7 linked regions of the Canis lupus familiaris genome follow. The protein of the gene in region 7 purifies or fractionates together with the protein of the main gene of each other region. This does not show direct contact. Links are inferred from orthologs where the notes say so. Each region holds a gene or a part of one and is shown on either strand. Other genes may lie near its edges. The genes, in order: MOV10, CASC3, RBM8A, XRN1, EXOSC2, SLBP and UPF1.

Region 1 (4,256 bases), on a different chromosome or scaffold from region 7:
AGCCATGTGTGAAAATAATTAAAACCCCATGTGTGAATTGTAGTTTTCTAGATGAGACTGGTTTAGAGAAGTTCCACTGTAAACACAGCCACATCACGTTTTTACTCAAGTTGGTTATGTACTATGGCTGTTTGCATTGTTGCTTATTTTGGTAATGTCTAGGACATGGGCCTCACCAGGAAGCGGAGGGGTGGGGGCGCATTCAGGATCCAGGAGTAATGAGGACTTAGATCTGTGTATCAGAATGGAGCTAGACATTCAGTGTGGGTGTGGTGGATGGAAGGTTTTTGAAATAACTCCTGCTCAGACCCACCAGGTAATTGCAGACAAAAAGGGTAAAAAGGGACTATCTTCCTAGTGTTTTCCTCTACTTTGCACAATCAATTTCTAAGACATAAATTTTAAGAACTTCCCCATTCGCTTTGGTTCCTACTGACTTTGCATTTCCTGTTGCTAAAATCTGTTATTCCTGGCTTTGGTTGGTTGTTGGCCTGGGAGAAGGCACAAGAGTTGCCCAGCTGGAGCGTGGCCTGGGTTCTGGACATTCCTCACCCTGGGTTAGGTTGAGTGTGTGGCCTCCCACCGGGCACTACTTTGGAGGACAACACTACCTTTGATATATTTGTAACTCTGGTATATTTTTTTTTTAAATTTTTTATATAACTGTTATTATCTTTGCCCCATTCTAGTGTGTGTGTTCTTGTTACGAGGGAGCACACACAGATGCTGAGGCTTGTTTTGTGTTTCTGGTAGGAGCCCCACCCCCTTTAGTTTGCTTAATAGTCAGTCTTCCGAAGCGCGCTGCTCTTTCACTTCTCTTCCTGGTACTGATGCTGTAGGTATTAACCAGTTACTGCCTCACAGAAGAGCCTCTCGCTCTCAGGCTGGCATGATGACTGGGGCAACCCTTGCTAATACACTAGTAACAATTAAAGAGCAACACCGACTGGAATGTAATTAAGTGCCCAAATCTGTAGCTCAAGGGCAGGGATCAGCAGCCCTTCCACTGAAACGAAAGCCTGTGTGGCTGGCAGGGAAAAAGTGATGATGCCTGTCGGTGCCGGCGGAGCCCCCTGTCCCGCCTCCCCCACGTACACACCTTATCTCAGAGACAACTCCCCGCGTCGGAAAGCCCGGGGAGGGGGGAGGGGGGAGGGGGAGGGGGAGGGGGCGTGCCGCTCGCTTCCGCGCTGCTTTCCGTCCCCGGCTGTCTGGGGGAGGTGCTGCAGGACCTGCCCCGGCCCGGCCGCGGCCACCCCGGGCCCCGGCCCCTGCCCTTTGCTCTCCCGCTTTTGCAGAAGTACCGAGGCCCTGGGGGGTAGGCGGGGGAGCAGCCCCGGCGGAGGCTCGGACGTCCTCCCGGGCGGCTCGGGGGCCCCGGGCGGTGGCCGCGACCGCTTTCTGGCCAGAAGCCAGGGGAGGGAGCTTGGGGTAAGGGGAGGGCCCTGAGGGAGGGGTCAGACTCAGGAAAGAGTTAATGCGGGGAGGGGGAGGGGACAGGACGGAGAGACCGGAGGGGAGGCTCAGGTAGGAGGCGGACGCAGGCGGGGAGCCCGCGGGGGAGAGGGGCGCCTGCGGGGCCGGGGGTCGGAGTTGGGGGCTCCCCCGCTCGCCCTCGCCCCGGGGCCGCCAACTTACGTCCGCGGCGGCGACTTTCAGTTTCATTTCCGCGGACCCTCCTGCCTGGGCCGCAGCCGCCGCCGCGATGCCCAGCAAGTTCAGCTGCCGGCAGCTCCGGGAGACGGGCCAGCGCTTCGAGAGTTTCCTGGTCGAGCGGGGACTGGACATGGAGACTGATCGCGAGCGGCTGCGGACCGTTTACAACTGGGATTTCAAGATCAGGTACGGGCCGGCCCGGCCCAGCCCCCGGCCCCGGTGCGCGGGCCCAGCTCGCCGTCACCACCCCCGCCGCGGGCCGCCCTGCCCCGTCCGGCCCCGTCCCCCGCCCCGGCCCGTCCCGCCCCCGGCGCTACCAGCTCCCCCTCGGGCGCGAGCTGCCCGGGGGCGGCGCAGGCTCCCTCCCTCTCTTTGCCCTGCTCCCCCCCTTCGCAGCCGTCCCCCTCTCCCTCCCCCCCTCGCACACCCCCCCCTCCCGCCCCCCGCTTCCTCGCCCCGGCCCGGCCCCCCGACCCGGCCAGGGTGGGACCCGGCGTCGGCCCCGCGCCTCTCGGGGGGGAGGGCGGGCACCCGCGGGCCGCGTGGGAGCTGCCCCTGCTGCGGCGGCCCGGGCGCGCGGGCTCCGCGGGGACCCCCGCCCGCCCCCGCGGAGCCGGAGCCGCAGCCGGAGCCGGAGCCGGGGGGCCTGGCCGACGTCGGGCAGCTGGGCCCGGAGGCGCGGGGCGTCGGCTACGTGCGCGCCAGACCTCCACTGGCACCTGTGGCTCCTCCGTGGAGACCCGGGGCCGGCTCCCGAGGCCCTTCCCGCCGTGGCTGGGGCTGTCGGGCCGCCCCTTCCTGGCAGCCTCCGAGTGCAGGTCAGACGCTCCTCCCTGGAGAACCACAGACTAGTGCCTCGGGGAACACCTATCAACAGGCTGCGGCCGCGGCCCAAAACCACGGCACAGTTTAGCGGGGACGGGCGCGAGGACCCACGCAGGATGCACGCGGGGCGGCGGGGACGTGGGCCTCGCGCCAGCCCCCCTGACAAGGGCTCTGGGTTCAGGCAGACCCGAGGGCGGTCAGGCTGGGTTCATGGAAGGGGCGTGGGGGGCTGCGGGAGGACGGAGTGGCTCCACAGTGATCGGAGCATATCTCGAATTTTTTTTTCTTTTTTTGGTAACGGGTGTCACATTTTAAGAGGGGCGTTAGCAGGCTGGAGCAACACTGGGGAAGGGGCAACGATTATGACCCGTTGGCGCCCTCACCCTGGGCTGGGCACCGTGGGGAATACGAAGAACACCACCGGGCCCAGGGGAGCAGGCGGCTCCAGGAGCATGGGCTCTGCTGCAGACCATATACTATCATAAATGGTAAAGTAACAGGAATAGGATAGAGGTAAGAAACCTGCTGAAGAAGAGTAAGGAAAGAGCAATTACTGTTGAGACACGTTATCAGCTCTGCACATCCTTGAATTCACTTCTGTCCACAGGATGGGAGTCCCGCGGGCCTCTGAACGCAAGTCAACTACTACTTCCGACTCTGTGAGAGAATGTGGTGTTTGTTTTTTGTTTTTTTAATTTTTATTTATTTATGATAGTCACAGAGAGAGAGAGAGAGAGAGGCAGGGACACAGGCAGAGGGAGAAGCAGGCTCCATGCACCGGGAGCCCGACGTGGGATTCGATCCCGGGTCTCCAGGATCGCGCCCTGGGCCAAAGGCAGGCGTAAACCGCTGCGCCACCCAGGGATCCCAGAATGTGGTGTTTGGATGCTTGTTAGACCTGTGCGGAAGACTTGATTTAAGACTCTCGCTGTAGGGTTACTGTAGTAGAGGAGAGAGCTCTACTCCCAACACAGCAACACTGCTGAGAATTGATAGCCAACAGCAGAGTGAGGGGTCAGTGCATGGGAAGTTCCCAAGAGGACACGTGAAGGGGTTGGGGGCAAGGTTGAGGCCTAGTGGAGACAGGGGTTCAGAGGAGCCTGACTAAAGTTTGGCCAAGGAGAGAGTCTTATCATCGTCTCTAAACTAAAGCTACACAATACGTACTATCCAGCCCTGGGGAAGAACAGGCTATATGGTCACTGCATACCCAAAAACGAGATAAAATCTACATTATGGCTGAATTCAAGGGGTCTCCAAAGTTATTTTTACTGTATGCGCTTGTTTTTTATGCAAACAAGGTACCACTTCCCCTCATGATTATTAGAGAATTTTATGTTTTCTTATGCTAATACCGTACCACCCCTCTGTAATTAGGGAATTCATGGAGAAGGTGGCACTGACCGGGGCTTTGGATTTGAAGATTTAAGGTAGTTTCAGCCCTCAGAGGAGAAGGAGGAGAAAAAGCTTACTTGTTGATTCATAGTCTGTCATGAGATCCAGTCAAAAAAAACCTTAGAGGGGCACCTGGCTGGTTCAGTCGGTAGAACATGCCGCTCTTGATTTTCGGGGTCGTGAATTCAAGCCCCGTGTTGAGTGTAGAGATTCTTTTTTTTTTTTTTAAGATTTTATTTATTTATTCATAAATAATAAATGCAGGACTCAATCCCCAGACTCCAGGATCATGCCCTGGGCAGAAGGCAGGCGCTAAACCACTGAGCCACCCAAGCGTCCCGAGTGTAGAGATTCTTTAAAAAAAAAACAAAAAACCTGAG
Region 2 (4,072 bases), on a different chromosome or scaffold from region 7:
AATAATTCTCAATGTTATTGTGCATAAGCATCAATCCAGGATTTGTTAACATAAATGCCTGAGTCTTCCCTCCCTCTGCAAGATTTTGTTTCAGTAGAACTGGCCAACTGAAAAAAAAAAAAAAGAACTGGCCAACTGGATTTTCTTTTTTCTTTTTTTTTCTTTTTTTTTTTTTCCAACTGGATTTTCTGATGCAGGAGTTCCTTAGTTCTGAAAAACACTTCTTTAAAATTTAAGTCTAATCCATATCACACTTGTTTAAAACCTTGTTATGCTTTCTTACTTCCTTAGAATAAAATCCAAATACATTCTAATCAGGCTTACAAGGTATTTTAAGATTTGGACTCAGACTCATCATTTAGCCCCAGTCACACTAAACTTTTCATATTCTCCAATTTGTCATGCAGTCCATCCCTTCTAGACCTTCTTCCCAAACAGTGTTCCCTCTGCTTAGAATACTGCCTGGCTCACTCCTACTCACCCTTCAAGTCTCTATTTCAACATCCCATCCTCTAAGCGTTTCCAAACAATTCATTGCCCCTGCCATGTGCTTCCAAAGCGCCCTGTGCTTCTGATATCACGACACCAAACATTACTGTAATTACTTGCTTAAAGTTGTCTATTTTTCCCCAGAATGTAAATTCCAGGAGAGCAGAACTATGTTTGTCTTTTATTCTAGTGCCTTGTATAACTCCTGGCATACAGCAGGTGCATAATGAAGAAAAGGAACAAGTAAACCCCTTCATGATCTGATCCCTGTTCACTAATTAGCCTTTATTTCTGGTATCCATCCTAACAATATTCCAGCCACACCAAACTACTTCCAAGTTTCCAAATATTCAGTTTTCTCTCCTGTGTCTGGATTTTCACAGCTGTTGTTCCCTCTGCCTAAAACATGGCCTAACTCCAACTTATTCTCGACGGCCTAAGATGGAGTCAGTACTCAGCCATTAACACCCTGCTTAAGCTTAAGCCTATCCCCAGCAGTTGTCACCAACTCGTAGGACTGCCTGCATGTTTATCTGACTTCCTAAGTCATTCCTAAAGACAGAAATTTTAGTATAGTGTTTGCTGTTGCATCTCCAGGATGTAATGGAAATCTAATATGTAGTAACAGTTCTACAAAACTTACAGAATGAACCTTTGATCCACAATCCAATTCCTCCTGCCCATAACCTCATGACCCAAATTCCAGAAATTAGGACTTTATTCAACCCCAGGAAACAAATAGCATCTCTAGTAGTTCACCTAACCAAAACAAATAAAGTCACAAAAGCTTGGCTTATGGATATTTTCTCCTGAATTTAAGGAGGGAGAAAGCTCCCTAGAAACAGGGATATTTCTGATACAAACAACTCAGGATCCTCTCCTTTTAAGGTCTTCACATACACTTGGAAAAAAAAAAAAATTCAATTAGCTGGTTTCACTTCCTAGCATAAAAGGAACTCTTATTCTGTGAAGGGCTTCAGGATGTTCTCATTCTCTTATTTAGAAACTTATTTTCTTCAGACAGGGTGAAAAGCCAACTACTAACAGTACTAACACATGAAACCTGATGTGGAATGCACCAAACTTCTCTCACTCTAAATAAACAAGACCTTTAATAACAGTTTTTGAGAAACATAAATGAAGAATGCACAAGAGAAATAACAAGGAGGTCATGGTACTTTTGAACCACAGGTGTATACACGTTCTTAAAATACATCAAAAAATTTCCAACCCATATACCATAGGGAAAAAAAAAAGCCTATCACACTCACTTCAGAGTCTTCTGCACTTTCATAATCCGACAGAACAGCTGAAAGGAAACAGAAATATGTAAAGAAAAAAGTTATTACTCACTGCTTTTTGAGTCAAGCTAAGACCCTCGTTCAATTCTGACATCAATCTATCAGAGAGAGAAAATCATAATTCCCAGTTACAAATGGGAAACAGGCTCAATGAGTGATTTGCCCAAGATCATACTGCTAAAACGTAAGCTTGTAGGCATTGTGTTACAAAGAGCCACTCAGTGGTACCCGCCCCCAAATCCTTAACGGTCTGAGAGGATGTCAACTGGTGGAAATAGGTGATGTGAGTTGACGGGCAAAATACTTGTCATGATGTTACTCACCATCGCCCTCGATGCCATCTTCACTCTCCTGAAGGAAAGAAGATGACATGATTTAGTTCCTTGATACCCAGAGGGTGGGGAACTGAAAACTCAACACAAAATGGTTGAAAAGGGAGATGAGAAAAGGTACATCTTTAACAAGTAGCAAACGAGGGAGGTCCGGTCTCTTCACTTCCAGCCCCAATTTCTGAATAAAGATCCTCTTTTCACGTGCAGCGGGTCTGCCCTTCCCCCAGAAACCCCAACACCACCTCCTCCCTCGGGGCTCCGGATGCACACTGCACTGGGATAGCTCTCTTCTCTAACACAATACGCCCCAGCATCTACCATCAACTCCCAGCGTCCCTTCACCACCTACACCCCGCCCCCCGGCCCGGCCCACCCGCGCGCACTCACACATTCCGACTCCTCAGCGCTCTTGGCCCCCCCGCTCTCCACCCGCCGCAGATGAAGGGCTCCAGCTCGGCCTCCGCGCTGGGAAGGCAGAGAGCCGCTGCCACCGCCTCCTGCGCTACCGCTGCAGCTCCCGCCGCCCCGCGCCGGGGAGCCGCCGCTGTCTGAGCCCGAAGCACCAGACTCCTCGTCCTCCGTGTCCTGCGAAGCGCGCTGCCGCCGCCGATCCGCCATCTTACGGAGAACGGCCGTCGCCGGCCAGCTCCTTACGTACCGCGCCCGTCGCAGGGGCTGCCGGGAGGCTCGAGAGCTAATCCCAGCATGCTTCACGTGCGACACGGGCCACCGCGCTTTTCAGGGGGAGGGGCTAGGGGCGGGGCTGCCGCCCTGCGGCACTTTTGCAGGCGAGTGGGATTACGTAATCGGTGACGTACCGGGGGCGTTCCGCGACCCCGTCTTCCCTCGAGTAGGCCCCGGGCGTGGGGAGCTGAGCTCCGGGCAGCCGCCTCCGGTTCCTCGCCCAGCCATCTTGGGCCTTCCGAGTGGAGGGCGCCCACCTGCTACAGCTTCGCTGCGGCATTGGAGCTGTTTCATAGTTTTCTATTTCCGTTTCTCATTTCTACCTACGTTTGAAGCAGATCATTTTACTGCATTCGTTTGCTCGGTAAAATCAGTCAAGGTAAACCTCTAAAGCTGTTGTGATGTATCAGATTTGCCACAGCAGCCCATTTGAAGCTAAAAGGTGAAGGAGAAAGCAATTGTTTGCAGTGAAGCTCGAGGACTTAGTGTTGCATCACTACCATGTTTTTGTTTTCTCATTTCCTCATCTTGTATCTTCCCACCCCAGCTATCACCTCTTCCAAAGTGCAGGCTGGTATGATGCCAGACTCAGCCAAGATTTTGGAACTGATTCTAAAAGAGATGATGATGGGAACAAGCGTTGGTTCAGTATCTTGACATGATTTCCTTCTTAAAGGTTACCAGACCGGTAGATGAGAGGAATGCTTGGGTTTTGGCAAGACATGGTCAACAATGAAAAAAAAAAGTCTTAATTTCTTTGGACCATAATAAATATACTCAAGATGCATAAGCTAAGTGATTAGCATACCTACAGGAGTGCACGTTATTGATATGTATCAAACAGAGAAAGGTCACTATGGCAAAGCACAGGATTCTGTCCTCTGTAGTATTTCTTAAAAACTACATGGCTAAAGATCTGATATTTACCAAATTTATAGACAATATGAAACTAGAAGCCAATCTGAATGCCTTCATAGATAGATTCAGGATCTAAAAGGATCTCAACTAGTTAAACAAGGGGCCAAATGTGACAACTTGTAAATCCAGCTCCAAAACCCAGCTGCCAGAGTTCAAATGGAGGATGTATGATTTAATAAGTGTTGGAAAGAAAGGAAGATCTGGAGGATCTTTTCTATCATAAGGTAAATTGATGCAAATGAAGCTGCCAAGTTTAGTGTCTAAATAAGGAAAGCGATAACCTGCCACTTTACCTTTCAGTTGTTTGGTCTGGGTTCAATTTTTAAATGAATACAAGCAATTTGTTCA
Region 3 (3,984 bases), on a different chromosome or scaffold from region 7:
ACTGCCAGCACCTTCTCTAATACTAGGTACACACATTATAACTGTTCGATTAAAAAATAATATGAAGGGGATCCCTGGGTGGCGCAGCGGTTTGGCGCCTGCCTTTGGCCCAGGGCGCGATCCTGGAGACCCGGGATCGAGTCCCACGTCGGGCTCCCAGTGCATGGAGCCTGCTTCTCCCTCTGCCTGTGTCTCTGTCTCTCTCTCTCTGTGTGACTATCATAAATAATTAAAAATAAATAAAAAATTTAAAAAAATAATATGAAAACCTGCAGTCCACTATTGCTGAAGGCCTACATCAGGATTCCGAACTTTGCGGGCAATATGGGTCTTGAAACACGAAATACCTACACCATTCCCAAAGAAGCCGGAGTCCCCATTTTGTTGAAAGTCCCCATTTTGTTGAAAGCCATTAATTTTTTTTTTTCTTTTAAATTCCTGGAGGTGGTGGGAAGAGTTTGAGAGTTTATCTTTAAAAAAAAAGCGGGGGGGGGGAGGGGTAGGATCCCTGGGTGGCTCAGCGATTTGGCGCCTGCCTTTGGTCCTGGGATCGAGACTCGCGTCGGGCTCCAGGCACGGAGCCTGCTTCTCCCTCCTCCTGTGTCTCTGCCCCTCTCTCTATGTCTATCATAAAATAAATAAATAAATCTTAAAAAAAAAAAAAAGGCAGCCGATAGCCGTCTCAGCAATCCTAATTCACAAGATTAGCTTCCTTAAGAGAAATTCGCCGCTGCAGTACGAGCCAGACTCGGCTTTTTGAGCTAGCATTGCTGAATGAACTATTTTAAAAATGTTTCCATCACAGACCCAGCTAGCTGCTCCTCAAAACAGGTTACGGGTCTAGAAGTTTTGAGAGAGAAAAAAAATTCAACTTCCATTTCCTATGGAGTCCAAGGAGACAGAAAACAATCCTCTAATAGAGAAACTGGGCTGTGCTTCGCTGACTACAGTATTTCTCCTTGGTTGCCCTAATTAATAGGAAGCCGCTGCCTGCACCTACCCACTAGCTTGTCCCTTAGAGCACCACTCCATTCAGCTCGCCACCTGCTCAAGATGGCTACAGGAGCACTTCCGACATCTTCCGGAACTAGGCCCGCCTTCTTTTGCGTATTTTCACCGCGCCGGGGGCGGGACTTAGATTTAGCTTCTGATTGGTCAGCTTGACTAGTGACCTTTCCCCTCCGCGACAGTTTCCCGAGGTGCCTAGTGCCTGAGCGGCACCGACGAGAGTAAGAAGGCAGGCAAGATGGCGGACGTGCTGGACCTTCATGAGGCTGGGGGCGAGGATTTTGCCATGGATGAAGATGGGGACGGTGAGGACAGTGGAGGCAGCTGCGGGAAGCCGGGAAGGTGCGAAAGAAGGGAGTAATAGGAAAATAATTGCCCTTCCCGGCAGGGCGGCTGGGAGTAGAACTGAGTTTCGATTGGATTAGAGACTGCGCCCCCTTCGGGAGGAATGGGGGCGGGACCGGGAGGGAAATGGGACTGGAGGTGGTGGGGCTGCTTTCAGATAATGCCTCCGTAAAGAGACTATTGTTGTAAATACCTGTTATTTTTGTTATTCATTCTTTCACTTCTGGGGATCCAGAGAGCATCCACAAATTGAAAGAAAAGGCAAAGAAACGGAAGGGCCGCGGCTTTGGCTCCGGTGAGTGTTTGTGGGGAAAATGGTGTAGAATGGCGACAGCTACGAGTTTTGGAGTCCCCATTCACACTCATGGGGAACAGTGGTAGAAGAGATTTCTGGTGATCTCTTGTATGTTCCATATAGAAGAAGGGTCTCGAGCGCGGATGCGTGAGGATTATGACAGTGTGGAGCAGGATGGAGATGAACCCGGACCGCAACGCTGTAAGTGAGATGGACACTAGTGTATTATGGACCTATGAAATAAAACCCAGTAGGAGTGGGGTCGGAGATACCTTAATCCACTCTTGTGATCTTGCTTGAAGTTTTTCTTTTGTGCACAAACCTCCTTCCCTTCCCCAACAGCTGTTGAAGGCTGGATTCTCTTTGTCACTGGAGTCCATGAGGAAGCCACCGAAGAAGACATCCATGACAAATTTGCAGAATATGGGGAGATAAAAAATATCCACCTCAACCTGGACAGGCGTACAGGATACTTGAAGGTATCCTACTGTTGTTGCCTCTCTTCCCTCACAACCTTTAGACAGCTTTGGTAGTTCTCCCATGTTTTCTCTGATTGGCCAAAGAGCAAAGTTGAAATAAATGAGATTGAAAATTGATTTTGAAAAAAAAAAAAAAAAAAAAAAAGAAAATTGATTTTGTCAGACACAGCAAAGAGATGGAAACATATTTTGAATATATACACAGTAAGGATATATGATGTACATCTGTTGTATAAAGTCTATAGATATTTCTATTTGAGTATGAGTTTAGATCTGAGGAAGAAGATGCTCAGTAGTGTTTGGAATATGAGGGTTTTGATCTGTCTTTTCACTTATCCCAGGGATATACTTTAGTTGAGTATGAAACATACAAGGAAGCCCAGGCTGCTATGGAGGGACTCAATGGCCAGGATTTGATGGGACAGCCGATCAGTGTGGACTGGTGTTTTGTTCGGGGTCCGCCAAAGGGCAAGAGGAGGTAAAGTGGAGAGGGCAAACTATCTTGGTGAAGGGAACATGAGCAGAACAGAATAAGGACATTGTATTATGTTCCTGATGGACCCTTCCTTTTCCCTAGAGGTGGCCGAAGACGCAGCAGGAGTCCAGACAGGAGGCGGCGCTGACAGGTCCTCTGTTGTCCAGATGTTCTCTCCAGAGATTCTCTTTGACCATGCAGCCTTGGAGAAATAGGGCTGAGGTGGAACTCACTGTTTATATTTAATCTCTTATCCTACTTAGTGGGGTTTTTTTTTTTGAATTATGAATAAATGTCCCATTTTTTGTTTTGTACATTTAAAATTACTTTCCTTTTCTAACATTGCAAGCTCTGAAGCATTATTTACAGTAAGGTAGTATGGGTCACTATGAGGATACTTCTAAGGACTCAATTCTGTGTGAATTTCTACATTAGATATCTCAAGTCTCAGAGTCAAAGTATTTCTTTTTCTTAGAAGCTAAGAGAGCAGGGGTAGAAGTGAGGTGTTATAAAAGCTTAGTTACTTTGTTCCTGTATACTCTGTCTGAGCAAATGGATGTTATAGGAATGTCTCTTGTTTCTCCTGTCCTTTCTGTTGCCACATTTGTTTGTACTTCCAGCTGTCTAAGGGTTTGCATTTCCTGTCAGGGCATTCTCTCAGAATCTTTTTTCCTTAGAAGAGTCTATACTGAGTTCTTGGTGCCTTCTTTGACAGCCAAGGGTAAAGGCCCCATAGAAGAGAGGATACAGAGGAGCATTGAGAAGGCCGAAAAGGAAAAGGATGTGGCTGAGGCTGAGGCTGGGGGGGGACTTCATTTAGCATGGTGGGAGAGAACCAGTACCACAGGCCCAGTAGGTAATAAGGTGTCCGGCAGAAGACGAAGGTCAGCAAGACCAGCAGGGCCAGTCGCAGGGCCTGCAGACGTACACAGGAGCGGTTGTCTAAGGAGCGGCGGAGGGCAAATTCACTGGCAGGGGCTGGGATTTTAGAAAACATACTCAAATTCAGAATCACTCAGTTTCTGAATTGAGTGTAGGGTGAACAGATGAATAGGCAGAGATGATGAGCTGGAGCTCTCCTGATACAGGGAAGAGGATATGACAAATAGGTGGTAATGCTGCAAATCCTCTTCTTCCCCAACTGGGAATATATGCTCTCCCCCCCGCCTCAGGGATTATGACAGACATGCTGGAGAAGAGGTTTTGATTGAGGTGTGGTGTTCTATGAAGCTACTAAGTCTACTTGAAGACTTGATGGTGTCTAAGACTAAAGCAGAATACTAATCACCTTTCTCCTTAATCCTTGCCCAGCTAACTCAGCTTCAGAGGGTGGCTAGAGGCTGGTTAGAATTGAAGGCATTTAGAAAATACTGGCAGCATCA
Region 4 (3,500 bases), on a different chromosome or scaffold from region 7:
CAAACAAACAAAAATAACCATTTTCTACTTGCCAACTTTTTATCACAGGAATCTAACACGTCTGTTAACATTACCTTCTTCAAAACCATAGCAGTTGAAAGGCTGACATTATGATAAATAAAATCTAATTTTTTAGGGGAATCCCTGGGTCGCTCAGTGATTTAGCGCCTGCCTTTGGCCCAGGGCGTGGTCCTGGAGTCCCCAGATGGAGTCCTGCATTGGGCTATCTGCATGGAGCTTTCTTCTCCCTCGGCCTGTGTCTCTGCTCTCTCTCTCTCTCTCTCTGTGTCTCTCATGAATAAAAAAATAAAATCTTAAAAAAAAATCTAACTTTTTAGATTTTAAAATTAGATTTAAATCTAATTTTAGGGGATCCCTGGGTGGCTCAGCAGTTTAGTGCCTGCCTTCGGCCCAGGGTGTGGTCCTGGAGTCCCAGGATCGAGTCCCACATCGGGCTCCCTGGATGGAGTCTGCTTCTCCCTCTGCCTGTGTCTCTGCTTCTCTCTCTGTCTCTGTCTCTCATGAATAAATAAATAAAATCTTAAAAAAAAAAAATCTAATTTTAGATTTAAATCTAAAAAATCTATTTTTTTCTATTTTAAAGTAAAAGCAGAATGCCTGGGTAGCTCAGCAGTTAAGCGTCTGTCTTCGGCTCAGGGCATGATCCTGGAGTCCCAGAATTGAGTCCCACATCAGGCTCCCTTCATGGAGCCTGCTTCTCTTCTCTGCCTATGTCTCTGCCTCTCTCTGTCTCTCATGAATAAATAAACAAAATCTTTAAAAATAAAAAAGTTAAAGCATTGGTTAAAAACGTACTCAGATACTACATCAACTCCCATCTTCGTCATGTAGTATGTTCTTTTATATTGTCTAAACTCAGTTTCAAACAGGTCATCATCTTCAGTCTCATCTTCTAAATTATCTGGAAAAAAGGTCAGAAAGTGGCTGACAATTACAAATATTTTGTTTTTCCACCTATCTCTTTGATAAATACATATCAAAGCAGATGCTTATAAACTAACACAGAAATCTGTTCCATCTAATATTATTAAATCAGTGCTTACTAAGGAAAGATACAATGACTATTCTGTCAAAAAAATAACACAACGAATAGAGTTTGTACTCACCCTTAGAAGTTACCACTTCTTCTCCATTTTTGTCTAAAGCAGCCCAACATATGGCATTTTCCTGGCCCTACAAAAATTATAAATCAATATAAAATTAATGCAAAGATACATTTCAAAGTAAGACATTGAACTGGGATATTTAAAAAATACTACAAAGGACTGAATGATCCTTAAGTGACAACACTGTAAAAGTTCATTCAAAAAATAATCCTCAAGTACTGTATAAATGTTTTCGGTTTTGTAGCACTTCTTTTCTAAATCTTTATTATGCAGAACTTAACATTTAGGCTGCTCTAAAATATGTAATAGGTATTTCTCATCTATTGTGTTAATATAATCTATTTGTTCATGATTGAATCCAAAGGTTACAAACATTACATGTTTTCTATTCTCTACTTCTAAATTTTTTCTCTCATGCAATGCATTTGCTTTTCTATATTTATCCCATCTCATCACATTCTTTATATCCTGCCCATCTGCTTTTCCTCCCTTGTGATCTCAACTTTTCTTTCCTCTATTTTCTGATTGCCTATCTATCGACAGTGACTTAGTTCTTCCTACTCCCTTATCCCCATTTCCCTTTGTTCATCCAAACTAGGGTCTTTGCTAACTTCCTGTGCTTCGGCTCTTCCTCTAGTTTCCCTCATTTTGCCAGTATCTCTAACAGTAACTACATATGCCTGAAGACTTGTGAAGCTTAAGGACTGGGCTAAGACGGGTGGAGCCAGGGATTACTGATGTGTAAGTTTTGTGAGTAAAGTATAGATTCCTAAAAAGTTGCTGAGCCTGTTTCTATAAGAGAAAAAACAAAGAAGAATGTAGACGGACTGCTCCTTAGTTTCACTGAGAAAAACTAATCAATTAGAAGGACTACTCTAATGAAAATCAGCATAAATGCCCTTCATGGAGCAAGAGTTACTAGCTTTGAACCTAAAAAGAACCAATATAGCAAGGAGAGTATAGAAAATTCCTCAATTTTATCTGAACCCAATAATTACAAATAAGCTGAGGAAAATTTCAGAAAAGGTCTATTTCCCAAGTTAACACATACAAGACATTCTTTAGAGCTCATTAGTGATATTTCGTAGGGTACTAGCATATTCTGATTCTACTATTTATTTATTGAGCACCTAGCATTTATTAGCTATTGTGCTATTACTTACTCTTAAACTAGCCTATAGCTGTATTTCATAAATGACTTTATATATAAATTATTATTTTTTAAAGATTTTATTTATTTATGGGAGACAGAGAAAGAGAGAGAGAGAGAGAGAGAGAGAAGCAGAGACACAGGCAGAGGGAAAAACAGGCTCCATGCAGGGAGCCCGACGTGTAAGTCGATCCCGGACTCCAGGATCATGCCCTGGGCTGAAGGCAGCACTAAACCACTGAGCCACCCGGGGTGCCTTATATAAATTATTTCTGAAGAAAAACCACAGGTCTAATTGCTATCTCAATATTAAATGTTAGAAGTAGACATATTTTACAAAAGATAATTAATTTTCTAGGTTCTTATATTTAGAAGATTTTCTACACTTATTAATAGGATGAAAACACAATGCTTTTCTTCTAGGATAAAAATAAGAAGCTGATTTTTAAAAATCAGCTTTAAGTAACAGGATCTAACAGAGAAGAAACAAAAAAAATTTTTTTCAAATGTTCAATAGAAGAAAATAAGAAATGAAAATGAAATGAGGCAACTCCAAAAATCACAAGAGGGAAATGAGGAACAAGGAATATCAGTTTCACTTTACAGCTAGAAAAATGAAAGAACACCTAAAAAAATGGACACCTTTGACTTCTTCTTTTCCTTGTAGTTCCTGGCTTCTTCTGCTGCTACACCTGCTGCTTCATTGAGGTACTTGTTACCAACTTTGCTTTCAAACCACTTTAGGTCCACAAAAACTTCACTGAAGTGTTCCCGATCAAACTGTACAAAAATATTTAAATTCATTAAAAATAATTTAAGTATGTCTGGAAGAATAGAAACCAAACTTTTAACAGTTGCTACTTCTAGGGCATAAGAAATCAAAGAATGTTACTCTCTTATGGGCTGAAAATCAAAAATAAAAAGCAAATAAAAATAAAAGTAATTTAGGTGAAATTATACAGAAGGATCAGTTGATGTAAAAGTACCAAAACTTTTTCTTCTGATATAATTGGTTTCTGCCCATTTATAGCTACCCTGGGACAAGAAAATAAAAATATCTAGTTACTTACGTCTGATAGTTTCACAAGGTATTTCTCAAATCGAGGTAAGTTGAGATGCCCACTTTCATTAATATAACCTAAAAGGAACAAAATCTAAATTTGTACTAAAAGCTGACACTATTTTTTCTAAACAGTTCTACAAAATTCTTTTTTACAAAATAT
Region 5 (3,500 bases), on a different chromosome or scaffold from region 7:
AAAATGCTTCCCAAACCTGAATCAGAGTACCATTTCTACAGTCATTAGGAAAACCAATGCAGAGGAAATTCTAGCTTTCTTCAGGGAGAACTTCAACCTGTTTTTAACCCTGAATTATTACAAAGTTAACGCATTACTACTTCAATCACAGGAGGAAAAAAAGAGTTCTTTTCGCATCTGCATTTCTTAGTCTGTTTTCATGTTCCTCAGAGAACCCTGAACATTATTCTATCATCAGTTACTCGGCTTCTGACAAATCACTCTTAAAGGCAGATCAGATTAAGGCAGCTTGGCGTAGATATCCTTGAATCTATCACTACAAGGAACATGCAATGGGAAATGAGATTCTAACCAAGCAAAGGCTGCTTGGTTGACTTTATTCTTCCATTCTACTGCTGAATGTTACTAAGTACACAGGCACCTGGGTGGCTCAGTTGGTTAAGTGTCCAACTCTTGATTTCAGCTCAGGTCATGATCTCAGGGTCATGAGATTCAGCCCCGCACTGGCTCTGCACTGGGCATGGAGCCTGCTTAAGGTCCCCAACCCTCCCATCCCCACTGGCTCTCTTGGTCTCAACAACAAAAAAAGTTACTAACTATATTCTTCAATGTTGCACTTGAGCTGCAGAGGGGGAACAGAGTCCAAAACACAATTTTGGGGTCAGGGAGGCTGTGTTTTTTATAGGGGCAATTTCATGGGGGCATTGTGCCTTGTGAATTGATGGTCAGTAGAAGAAAAGGATTCTCCAGCATTCCTGAATAGCAGTCCATTTGGCTGCAACACTGTGTGCTTTTAAAGGCTTGAAAGTTAATTAAAAAAAAAAAAAAAAGGAATAATAATAACAAAACTTTGAAAAATAAAAATAAAGGCCTGAAACTACCCTTAGTGCTGGACTCTGTGGGCGACCCAAGGGGCTGGTAGCACTTCCCCCAGGCTTTGCCCTAGAATAGCCAAAAGGAGGTCTTTGGACCAGAGGCAGCCTGATGTAGGTCAAGTGATGAGTGTCACAGCTCTCCACAGAGCCACATATGGGACCCCAGATCAGATTCTTCACTTTCACTTTTCAAACTGCTCCGGTCAGGTGCACACTGTCCTGTCCTTCAGATGTCTCTCCTCACCCTTCTTGTTCTAAAAGCCTCTGGCGTGTTTCCATAACAACTTCCTCCATTATTTCTGGCTTTAAGAGGTCTTTGATCTAAAAAAGAAAAGAAAAAAGTATTTGTTCAGAAAAGACACCAACCATAAGCATCAAGCCAATCCAGAGGCAGAAACCAAGCATGGTTACCATAAACCTTCTATATCCCTTTCATTTTCTTTTAAAGATTTATTTATTTAAAAAAAAATTAAAAATAAAGATTTATTTTAGAGAATGAGAGAGAATGCACAAGTGGGGAAAGAGGCAGAGAGAGAAGGATGGAGAATTCCAAGCAGGCTCTGTGCTGAGCGCAGAGCCCCAAATCCTTAGACTGACACTAGACACCCGAACAGTACAAGTATCTTGGGGAAAGATCTACCAGACACTTGATAGGGCTGTCCAGCAGATCAATTCCTACCGCTGGACATGGTGAAGGTATCTGGGAGATGTGCCTGCAATCCCTGAGGGAGCATAAACACTCACTGTCAACTTACAGATCCATGAAAACAAGTGAAGGCGTGGCTGGATGGAGTACCTGATGTGGAAGGGACGCCTCGTAGCAATACAGGATGCTGGTATCATACAGCATCATCCTCTGAGTGACCAGCGAGACGATGCAGTTCCGGAGCCGGGAGATCACCTCTCGGTCGGCGAGGGAGATGGGCTACCAGTGGGGAGGCAAAGGTAAACAATTAGAACTGAAGTCCATGAACAGTCACAGCAAATCACAGAAATCGTTTATAACTTCAGCTCGATCCCTCCGGGACTCCAAACCAATCAACTGCTAACTCCAAGGGAGATTAAAAAGGATGGCTCTTCAGCTGCTATTACCCTGCAACCTGCCACCTCTGCCAACAGAGATCAAGCCAGTTCCATTTTAGCTCTTCAGGAGAGAAGGCCAGATCATGCTATGAAGACCCCTCAACGGAGACTCAAACCCAGACTACAGCAAATACATGGTTTAAAACAACCAACTATGGGGGTGCCTGGGTGGCTCAGTTGGTTAAGTGTCCAGCTGTTAAGGTTTCAGCTCAGGTCATGATCCCAGAGTCAAGGGACAGAGCCGCACGTCAGGCTCTGCACTCAACACGGAGTCTGCTTGAGATTCTCTCTCCCTCTGCCCCTCCCTCCACTTGTGCATGCGCTCTCCCTCTCAAATAAATAATCTTTAAAAAATAAAAAAATTCAAACAGCCAGCCCTACCGAGCCCAGATGTACAGAGACGGCAGCGGCAATGCTCACTCACCTCCAGGTGTGCTGTGAAGCCCCCCGTGTCTTCTTCCTTCTGCTCAGGTGTGGGGTAGATCCAGATGAAGCCATTGTTACCCAGAATCACCGAGGCACCACAGGGCAAGTCATGGAAGTGAGTCTTCTGCCGTTTTACTAGGGAGGGAGAAACCTGGACCAAAACTCCCTGGCCCAGCTAAAGAAAGAGGGCACAAACCGAGTCACTGAAGGGTTATCAGTGAAGTGCATGAAAAGCAAACCACAGAACACACATCCTAGTTATGGCAGGACTAGGGCCACTCCTATTAATGACTGTAGTCCCGGGTGTACACACACTGTTAATTACTCCCAGAGAACACTTCCGAATGCAGAGGTGGTTTATGCGCTCCAAGAGAAGGTGACTTTCAATACTCCTCTCATTCTTCTGCCCTTAGCATTATATTCGAATCTGGGCTTGGTGTGCTGGTAGTTGGAGAAGCTGGAGCTCATGAGGACGTGAGTCCAAGCCTCTTGTGAGCCAAGGTGCGCTGTTCTGTTCCACCTCTATCCCAGTCACCTACTGTGCCTTTGAAATGTGTGCTATGTGCCACTGGGCAAGGGGAGTGGCCAAGGGCTGGATGCAAAACCATCCCTGATCCTGGGAGGGCAGCTCAAGTCCCCAGCCCGCTGAGGGAAGGTCTGCAGTACCCAGGCCTGTGAGGGTGAGCTAAGACAGCACAGCTGTTCCACCTCCTGCTCCAAGGCTGTGAGTGTGGTGACTGTAGCCACTCCACAAGGAAACACGCTTCTGTGCCACTCAGGAAATGAAAAGGTTCGCCCACATAAAGCCAAAAGACTAATAAATCATAATCTGTTTTAGAAAATATGGTATCGTGGGACGTTGGGGTGGCTCAGTCGGTTCGGCACCTGGCTCTTGGTTTTGGCTCGGGTCATGATCTCGGGTTTGTGGGATCCGTGCTCATCGAGGAGTCTGAGTCTGTCTCTCTCTCCCTCTGCCCCAACCCCCACCCCCCCCGCCACGTGCATGCTCTCTTGCTAAAATAAGTGAATCTTTAAAAGAAGTATGCAGTCATTAAAACAGCAAGAGCCTCAATGTAACTTCATACAAGAAAGCAGTGACATTTCATTTAAGCTCAA
Region 6 (4,259 bases), on a different chromosome or scaffold from region 7:
TCCCAGCTACAGAGGAACCAAATGGAGGGTTGTCCAAAGCTGGACCTCACTAGCGGACCACGAGGCTCAGGTCTGGGCCACGAAAGGATCCTGAACTCTTAAAAGGAGCTTACAAATGACCTTCCACTACATCACAAACTTTCTCATACAACGATAGAAAATACCTCTTGTAGAACTAAAGCCCGTGTTTTTTAGAGTAAGCACATTGTATTCACGAACTTATCCTACGCCTTAGCAGAGGAGTCCTTTCAGGGAAAGTACCCACATTCTGCAATAGAAATGCACCGGGCTCTCCTGCAGGTATCTCTATGCATCTCCCGGGCACCACCACAGTAGACGGGGCAGACAAGCACTACCCACAGAGCCAAAAGCAAGAGCCAAAGGCATTGCTGCCACTGTAGATGAGTAAGGAGACCTGTGTGGCTAACTACTGAGCTAGAGGGGTACCTACAGGGATACAAGAAACTTCTAAAGCAATGTAAGGATTTAACATTTTCTCCTCAGCTAAACGGGAGACCCCTGAAGACTCAGATCTTTATCTCAATGGTGTTTAATGGCTTCTCTTAACATCCAGCTCCAGCACCGTCCAGACCGTCTCCCACACTCTGCATCTCTTCCCACATATATCTTCTGGCCCCAAATCTCCAAAAGGCTGAACTATGCGCTGAGAGGTCCCACTCATGCAGAACGTGAGCACTTCTGCATCCAAACTCAAGCCTCATTAACTACCAATGCCTTCCCCATGCCATGTCTGCTCTACCCCCACCCTCTTCATCTTAGCAAATGGTCCCACAAGGAACAAAGGTGTTTAGAGTGAAACACAGTTATCCTAGACCCCTCTCTGAACCCCGGCCCTGCCCCATGAGCAAGTGTAAGAACTGTCCTAAAAAGTCTAGTGTGCACCACACATTCTTCCCCACCTCCCTTTCCCCTTGTCCTTAAGTCAGGCTTCAGACAGGCCAATCATGTCCCCTGTTGAGGGGCTTGGCACACAGACTCTGATCGTCACCTGGTCACCACACAACGGTTGCCAACAGAGGCATTCCCTGCCCGTGGACTTCACCACTGCCCCTGGTTTTCTTCAACGGTTCCTTGTCCCATGAGTAGCGGAGCCACCCACATCAGAGTACAGAGACAAGAAAACGGGGGTGGGGTTCGCACAGTGTCCTAGCCTCCCCAGCACATCACCGAATAAAGAGCTCACAGGAATGCTGCAGCAAAGGCTCCTCGGAGAGAAAGTGCCAGGGAGCGCCACAGGGAAAAGGAAAGCGGAACTTAAACCCAGTTTGCATTCTGCATACAGACGCCTTTTCTGACTGTGGGATGACTATCTTTAAACTGATTCTTCAGGAGACCAACCTGACGAGCTGCACTGAAACATTCTAGGAAATTCAGGGCAGCCTCCCACGCTGTCCCAAAAACCCAAGAAGGCTCACTCACTGAGACCAGCTCCCGTTGACACCTGTCACTAGAGACCTTCATGACATCTTCAACCACATCACATGACATGTCAGTACCTTAATAGTCAAATGTCAGAAGACACAGGCTTGTTAATTAGCCAAGCATTTGAAGCACAGGGGCCTTAACTAGTCAGATACAGAGACCAGCAGGCACCACGACTAACCAAGTGTTGTGAGGCAGCGGCCCTATAACTAGTGAGGTGCTGTGACGCACAAGCACCTTGATCAATCAACTGATGTTGAGCCACAGACACCACAAGTGGTCAGGGAGGCCACCCACAGCTTCCATAACCAATCGGGTAGGGGCCCACAGGCGCCTTAACCAGTCAGCTGGGGCTCCCAGGCGTCTTTACCCAGTCGGGTGGGGGCCCCCAGACACCTTAACCAGCCAAGTGGGGACCCAGAGCCTCTTCAGCTGGGTGGGGGATCCTTGGGCACCTTAATCAGTGGGGTGCGGGCCGCAGCCTCCTTAACCAGTTGGGTGGGGACCTACAATCACTTTAACCAGCTGGGTGTGGACTCTCCAGGGGCCTTAACCAGTTGGGTAGTAACCCACAGCCTCTTTAACAAGACAAGTGGGGAATCCGGGCACCTTTACCAATCGGATGAGAATCTTTGGGGGCCTCTACCAGTCAGGTGGTGAGCCACAATCTCCTTAAGCAACCAAGTAGGGACCCTCGGCGCCTCAACCAGCCGAGTGCAGACCCCATCTACTTAATCAGCCACACAGAGACCCCTAACCCCGAGTCGCCTCGAGCAGCCAGGAGGAGAACCCCCACCCCGCGACACCTCGAGCAGCCATGATGAGGACCCCCACCCCCGGCGCCATCGCTAGCCCGCTGCAGGCCCCCAGGCGCCTCAAGAAGCCAGGATGAGGGCCTCCCTCCCTCCCAGTGCCATCACTAGCGCCCCAGACCCCCAGCTTGCGCAGCGCCCCGGGCCCACCTGTCGGGCCTGCCGTCGCCCTCGGGCTTCACTGGGCCCTCGGCGTCCTCGGGCTTCCTGCGCTTCCCGTCGGCTCTGCGCTTCCGTCCAAGGCTCCATCTGGCGGGGGTCGGCGGGCTGCAGACGAGAGGCCGCGTCAGGGGTAAGGCCGGCCGCGAGGACACCCCCCACCCCTCGGCCCGCCCGGAACGCCCCGGGGCGCGCGGTCCGCCTCACCTGGCGTCGCCGTCGCGGCGGCTCCCGCACCCGGAAGGGCTTCGCGGTCGGCAGGCCATCGAGCGCGGCGGCGGCGGGGTCCTCGGGCGGCGGCGGGGTCCTCAGGCGGCGGTCCCAGGGCCGGCGGCAGCAGCGGCGGGGGCAGCGGCGGGGGCAGCGGCGGGGGCAGCGGCGGGGGCAGCAGCGGGGGCAGCGTCCTCTCCCGCGCCGGCGCTGACAGGCTCTGCGCGCGCGCCCCGCCCCCAACCGCCTTTATGTGCCGGCGGCCCCGCCCCTCGGAGCTCCCGCGCGCAGCGGTGGGCGAGACCATCGGGCCCAGGCCGGCGGGGGGGGCCCAGGCGGCGGCGCGCGCTCCGCGCGGGGACAGGGACCGCAGCGCTGCCACGGCCTTCCGGGAGACGGCCGAGCCAGAAGAGGCCCGAGGAACGGTGCCCCCCACCCCCAAGCCTTGGGACGGCCCGGGCCGCAGCCTCCGCGAGCAGGGCGTGGGGAGGGGAAGGGGCCTTGGCGGGAGATTCGGACACGCGCGCGTCGCAGGCGCTGAGCGGGGCCGAGGAGAGAGCGCGCGCCTGATTGGCCGAGCCTTCCGTGCAAGCGGGAAACGGGCACCCGGAAGGGGAGGACCCGGAAGGGGCGTCCCGGTGCCTAGGCCCTGCGGCGGCAGCTGCCCTGGTTTCCCTGCCGAAGCCGCCCGCCTCGCCTGCAGCAGCCATAACCACGGCGCTTCACTTCCCAGTTGGCTTCTCCCGGGCCCAGGGCGAGGATCAGGAAAGACAGGACATTCCAGTACGGACTTCAGACGAACATTTATTAAGAACCGTCGCACTCAGCTACAATAAATTCCCCTTTATAAAACTTTCCCTAGTAGTAAAAATAACCCGACCCGGCCTCCTCTGGCAGCCCGTGAGCCGGGGCTGGGGCTGGGCTTGCCGGCCCCGCCCCGATGGCCGCCAGCTGGGTCCCTCACCTCAGCGGACACAACAGCTGGGGGGGGGGGGAGGGGGGAGCGCGGCTTAGGGCCCCACGCGTGAGCCCCCGCACACATACACCCACAGCCACGTGGGCCGGGCTATTCCTGCCCTCCCCATGGGCCACCAGGAATGGGGAAGAGGCACGTCATTCCGCTCCAGGTGCAGAGCTGTGGTGGGCCCTGTGCTATGTCCCAAAGCACTTGTCCGGATGTAGGATGTCTCAATACCCATCTCCGGCCAGGAGTCAGGCCTGGCCTTTTTCGGGGCTCCTGGGGCAGCAGGAGGCATGGAGGTGCATGCCCTCCAGGAGAAAGGCAACCCCCGCCCCCCGCCAAGCATGCAGCTGAATTACAGGAGTTGATGGAAGCCAGCCCGACAGGAAGTCCAGAACCTCTGGGGAGGGGGCGTAGATAACTAAGTAGGGGCCACCCCACCCAGGAAGCCCACATAGTGCTCTCACCCTGAACTTGCACCCCTCTCTCTGCATCCTCACAGCAGCCTGGTGGGGTGCAGAGGGGACACTACCACAGGGCCAGCAGCCAGCCTGGACTCAGAAGCCTGGAGGACAGACTGCAACCAGCTTAGATGAACCTGGTTCTGGTGTGTAACTGAGAGGCAGGTGTGCTGCATAAAGTTAAGGCAAGTGGTTCAGGGTAGGGCCATGGAG
Region 7 (3,060 bases):
GTGCCACATCAATCTGTGACTTAAACTCATCGCCAAGGTAACTGTCCTGAAAAACAAAGTTGGGAGCTAAGATGTGCATGTATTGTTCCAGCCTCAAGAACCTGCTCCAGAGAAGATTCTGGAAAACCTGGTGAAGCCTAAGTGGCAGGAGATCCACACTGGTTACCTCACCAAAGAACATACGTAACCCAGGCCAACTGCCTAAGACAGTGTAGAGAACGACAGGTTTTAGAGCTTACACCCACATGGTGTACCTACGGAGGGTGCTGTGCGGAGCCATGCTCAGGTCCTTGTGTGGAGGGCCCCCCCAGGCCATCCTGACTTCCCTGCTGCTGGCTCACCTGGGACAACTCGGGCTGGGAGAGGCCAGGCTGGCTCATCTGGGAGGGCTGGCTCATGGAGATGTAGCCCTGTGTCAGGGCGCCCTGGGAGAAGGGCTGCGATGCCACATCCTGGCTGGCCTGGCTGTTGGGGAGATTCGTCTGGCTGGGTCCAGGGAGCCCAAAGCGGTTCTTCTGGCGCCCCCCACGACCAGTCTTGCCTTTTGGGGTACCCCGGCCTGAAAGACAGAAGTCCAGGGTTCCTTGAAGGAGGTCAGCATCCAACCAACAAACCCAACTGTCCAAAGCCCAGATGTGCACAAACTCCAACACCAACGTGCTTTTTGCCTACATGCTGCCACCTGGCACTCACCTGCGGCTGGCCCATTTGCTTGTCCAAAATATCCTGGTGGTGGCATGGGGGGCATGACCAGGTTGAAGGGGATGGGAATGTTCATGGCAGCCACGTGGCTGGGGCCTGCACTAATCATGCCGATCTGGTCGTGGGTCTGGAAGTACATGTTTGAGGGCCGGCCTGCAAGACACAAGGTGGACAGCAGGTGTCACCCACCACATGCCAATGAGCCAATTGCCCACCCCACAAATGGCAGCTTGAACAGTTGGAATGTCAATCTCATCTTGTCACTGCTCTGAGTGCCATGGTGTTTCTTGGTGTACCCCTACAGCAAAGCCACCTGATAGAGAATCTCACAATTCAATCCCCACTCTTGACAGCCTCTCTGGGGCTGGCTCCTGGGAACAAGCCTTTTTTCCAAGGGGACTTAGGAGAATCACGGCCTACCAGCATCCAAAAGACTAAAGCTAAGTTGCATTTCCAACTGAAAAAATAAAAGGGAAAATTTTATATTCGTGTAACCTGCACCCCACTCTCCACCACCACCCAAAAGCAAGAAAAAACCCGAGTGAACAGACCAGTGAATGGCACTGAAGATGAAGGCCCCAAGGTAGCCCCAGAGCTAGGCATATCTCCATCTGCACGCAGCTGCTCCAGGGGCTGGGAAGCCAAAGGGAGCCAAGGCATGACAGCAAAGCCTTATGATCTGCTCCCCGCCACCCCCCACCACCCCCAAGGCTGAAAGTGCCTTATCTGGGCCCATGGTAAGCTCAAGGATGAAGGATGGGCCCAGAGCACCCTACCTAGCAACTCACTGGATGTAGCAATGACATCCGTCACTTGAGCTCAGCAACCAGAATACTAGGCAAGGAAAGGGGGTTTTCCTACTTCACACAAGAGAGGAAATGTTGGGGTGTACCTGGCCCCAGGATGGCCAGTGAGCCCAGGTGGAGATGAAGCTCAGTGTAAAATGCAGGCTGTGGCACCAAGCACCTGGGTGAGCCAGTCACCCTCTGTAGAGGCTAGGGCAGGGAAAGGCCTTAGGAGACAGGGACCTGGGAGATGAATGGGAACCGTCTAGACACTGGCTCAGGCAAGAGGAGGTGTTCCATACAGCAGGGGTTAAGGCTCAGCCTCAGGACAGAGACCCCACCCAGAAGTGTGGTCTCAGAGAGTACACAGAAACAAGAAGGACCATGCAACCAGAACTGAGGCTATGGGTGGCCTGGAGGAGCTGCAGGAGTGCCCACCCCCCCACTGAGTGGAGGCACAAAGGGCAAGGTAGGCAGGGAGCACTATGGCATGGGGCACAGGGGCAAACAGGCAGGGCTGCAGTATGTGCCTGCAAACCTCCATAAGCAGAGCTCTGGTATTAAAAAAAAAAAAAAAAAAAAGGTTTATGGGACACCTGGGTGGCTCAGCAGTTGAGAGGCTGCCTTTGGCCCAGTGTGTGATCCTCGAGACCTGGAACCGAGTCCCACATCGGGCCCCCTGCGTGGAGCCTGCTTCTCTGCCTATATCTCTGCCTCTCGTGAATAAATAAACTCTTAAAAAGAAAAAAATTTGTATTCAGAAACTGACAACCAATTCTCTGATTTCAGACAAGGGAAGGCAACAAAGAGCTTTGTGAGGCAGTTTCTGCGGACTGAGGCTTGGGAGGTCACCCCAGGAGTGATAGGGCCAAAAGCTGCAGGCGTGGGAATGATCAACATGCACAGGGCCAGTGTGGTCCCACCCCACCCACCCCTCCTCCTGCAGCAGACTCACCCTGGCTGCTCCGATCATAGACTGACCCTGGGATAATAGCCTCCCGGGCATCATACATGGCTGTCGTCATGAAGCGGGCTCCCTGCAGAGGGTTTAGATAGGTGAGGAATTTATCACCTTGACACAAGATGAACTCTCTTAAGATCTGAGGGCCCGGCCACCTCCCAGGCCATGCCTAGGCCAACCCTGAGGGGCTTGCTGACCAGTGGGCTCTGGGCCTCACCCACCCTACTCCACAGACCTGGCCTTTTTTTTTTTTTTTTTTTTACAGACCTGACCTTTGATGCTGAACATAGATACGTTCAGGCTTCACCTCAAGCAACATCATGGCTTCTAAGTCCCCTAGAGCACCCTGGGTTCACTATGTCCAACTCCTAAACACCACTCATGACTTTGTGTCCTAAAAGGCCAGGTCTGAGAGCGCCTTATAACACTTGAGAGACCTGGGGTGGGGGAGCTCTGTGACAACAGGCCAGCTCCATCACTCTCGTGCACATGGACATGCATGTCTAGCCTCAGCTCACACCGGTCGCTGGTTACACCTGCTACTGCTCACAGCCACGTGCTAGGAACACCAGTCTGAGGGAGAAGAGGGTTCCTGACCCTGTCTTCCTCCAT

What was found.
Region 1: the proteins of UPF1 (region 7) and MOV10 purify together in Homo sapiens (affinity purification with mass spectrometry; 3 studies listed by BioGRID and IntAct, with this or other methods). This does not show direct contact. The link is inferred for Canis lupus familiaris from reciprocal best matches to the Homo sapiens genes UPF1 and MOV10.
Region 2: the proteins of UPF1 (region 7) and CASC3 purify together in Homo sapiens (co-immunoprecipitation; 5 studies listed by BioGRID and IntAct, with this or other methods). This does not show direct contact. The link is inferred for Canis lupus familiaris from reciprocal best matches to the Homo sapiens genes UPF1 and CASC3.
Region 3: the proteins of UPF1 (region 7) and RBM8A purify together in Homo sapiens (co-immunoprecipitation; 7 studies listed by BioGRID and IntAct, with this or other methods). This does not show direct contact. The link is inferred for Canis lupus familiaris from reciprocal best matches to the Homo sapiens genes UPF1 and RBM8A.
Region 4: the proteins of UPF1 (region 7) and XRN1 purify together in Homo sapiens (affinity purification with western blotting; 4 studies listed by BioGRID and IntAct, with this or other methods). This does not show direct contact. The link is inferred for Canis lupus familiaris from reciprocal best matches to the Homo sapiens genes UPF1 and XRN1.
Region 5: the proteins of UPF1 (region 7) and EXOSC2 purify together in Homo sapiens (affinity purification with western blotting; 3 studies listed by BioGRID and IntAct, with this or other methods). This does not show direct contact. The link is inferred for Canis lupus familiaris from reciprocal best matches to the Homo sapiens genes UPF1 and EXOSC2.
Region 6: the proteins of UPF1 (region 7) and SLBP purify together in Homo sapiens (affinity purification with western blotting; 4 studies listed by BioGRID and IntAct, with this or other methods). This does not show direct contact. The link is inferred for Canis lupus familiaris from reciprocal best matches to the Homo sapiens genes UPF1 and SLBP.

Annotation. Positions count from the first base shown.
Region 1 is NC_049238.1:63,618,773-63,623,028, reverse strand, and holds the start of MOV10 (helicase MOV-10), read left to right. Parts: upstream 1-1,456; 5' UTR 1,457-1,477; coding exon of another isoform or gene 1,478-1,527; intron 1,528-1,659; coding exon of another isoform or gene 1,660-1,842; intron 1,843-4,256.
Region 2 is NC_049230.1:22,374,961-22,379,032, forward strand, and holds the start of CASC3 (protein CASC3), read right to left. Parts: upstream 2,801-4,072; 5' UTR 2,741-2,800; coding exon 2,510-2,740; intron 2,142-2,509; coding exon 2,114-2,141; intron 1,799-2,113; coding exon 1,761-1,798; intron 1-1,760. UniProt on the Homo sapiens protein: Required for pre-mRNA splicing as component of the spliceosome. Core component of the splicing-dependent multiprotein exon junction complex (EJC) deposited at splice junctions on mRNAs.
Region 3 is NC_049238.1:59,380,387-59,384,370, reverse strand, and holds the start of RBM8A (RNA-binding protein 8A), read left to right. Parts: upstream 1-1,184; 5' UTR 1,185-1,246; coding exon 1,247-1,313; intron 1,314-1,588; coding exon 1,589-1,648; intron 1,649-1,771; coding exon 1,772-1,849; intron 1,850-1,990; coding exon 1,991-2,127; intron 2,128-2,468; coding exon 2,469-2,605; intron 2,606-2,704; coding exon 2,705-2,750; 3' UTR 2,751-3,984.
Region 4 is NC_049244.1:38,642,693-38,646,192, forward strand, and holds part of XRN1 (5'-3' exoribonuclease 1), read right to left. Parts: intron 3,416-3,500; coding exon 3,348-3,415; intron 3,058-3,347; coding exon 2,920-3,057; intron 1,195-2,919; coding exon 1,128-1,194; intron 923-1,127; coding exon 817-922; intron 1-816. UniProt on the Homo sapiens protein: Major 5'-3' exoribonuclease involved in mRNA decay. Required for the 5'-3'-processing of the G4 tetraplex-containing DNA and RNA substrates. The kinetic of hydrolysis is faster for G4 RNA tetraplex than for G4 DNA tetraplex and monomeric RNA tetraplex.
Region 5 is NC_049230.1:53,357,402-53,360,901, forward strand, and holds part of EXOSC2 (exosome complex component RRP4), read right to left. Parts: intron 2,560-3,500; coding exon 2,383-2,559; intron 1,801-2,382; coding exon 1,672-1,800; intron 1,197-1,671; coding exon 1,116-1,196; 3' UTR 1-1,115. UniProt on the Homo sapiens protein: Non-catalytic component of the RNA exosome complex which has 3'->5' exoribonuclease activity and participates in a multitude of cellular RNA processing and degradation events.
Region 6 is NC_049224.1:62,917,211-62,921,469, reverse strand, and holds the start of SLBP (histone RNA hairpin-binding protein), read right to left. Parts: upstream 2,801-4,259; 5' UTR 2,681-2,800; coding exon 2,622-2,680; intron 2,523-2,621; coding exon 2,406-2,522; intron 1-2,405. UniProt on the Homo sapiens protein: RNA-binding protein involved in the histone pre-mRNA processing.
Region 7 is NC_049241.1:44,646,267-44,649,326, forward strand, and holds part of UPF1 (regulator of nonsense transcripts 1), read right to left. Parts: intron 2,525-3,060; coding exon 2,443-2,524; intron 856-2,442; coding exon 694-855; intron 560-693; coding exon 342-559; intron 47-341; coding exon 1-46. UniProt on the Homo sapiens protein: RNA-dependent helicase required for nonsense-mediated decay (NMD) of aberrant mRNAs containing premature stop codons and modulates the expression level of normal mRNAs.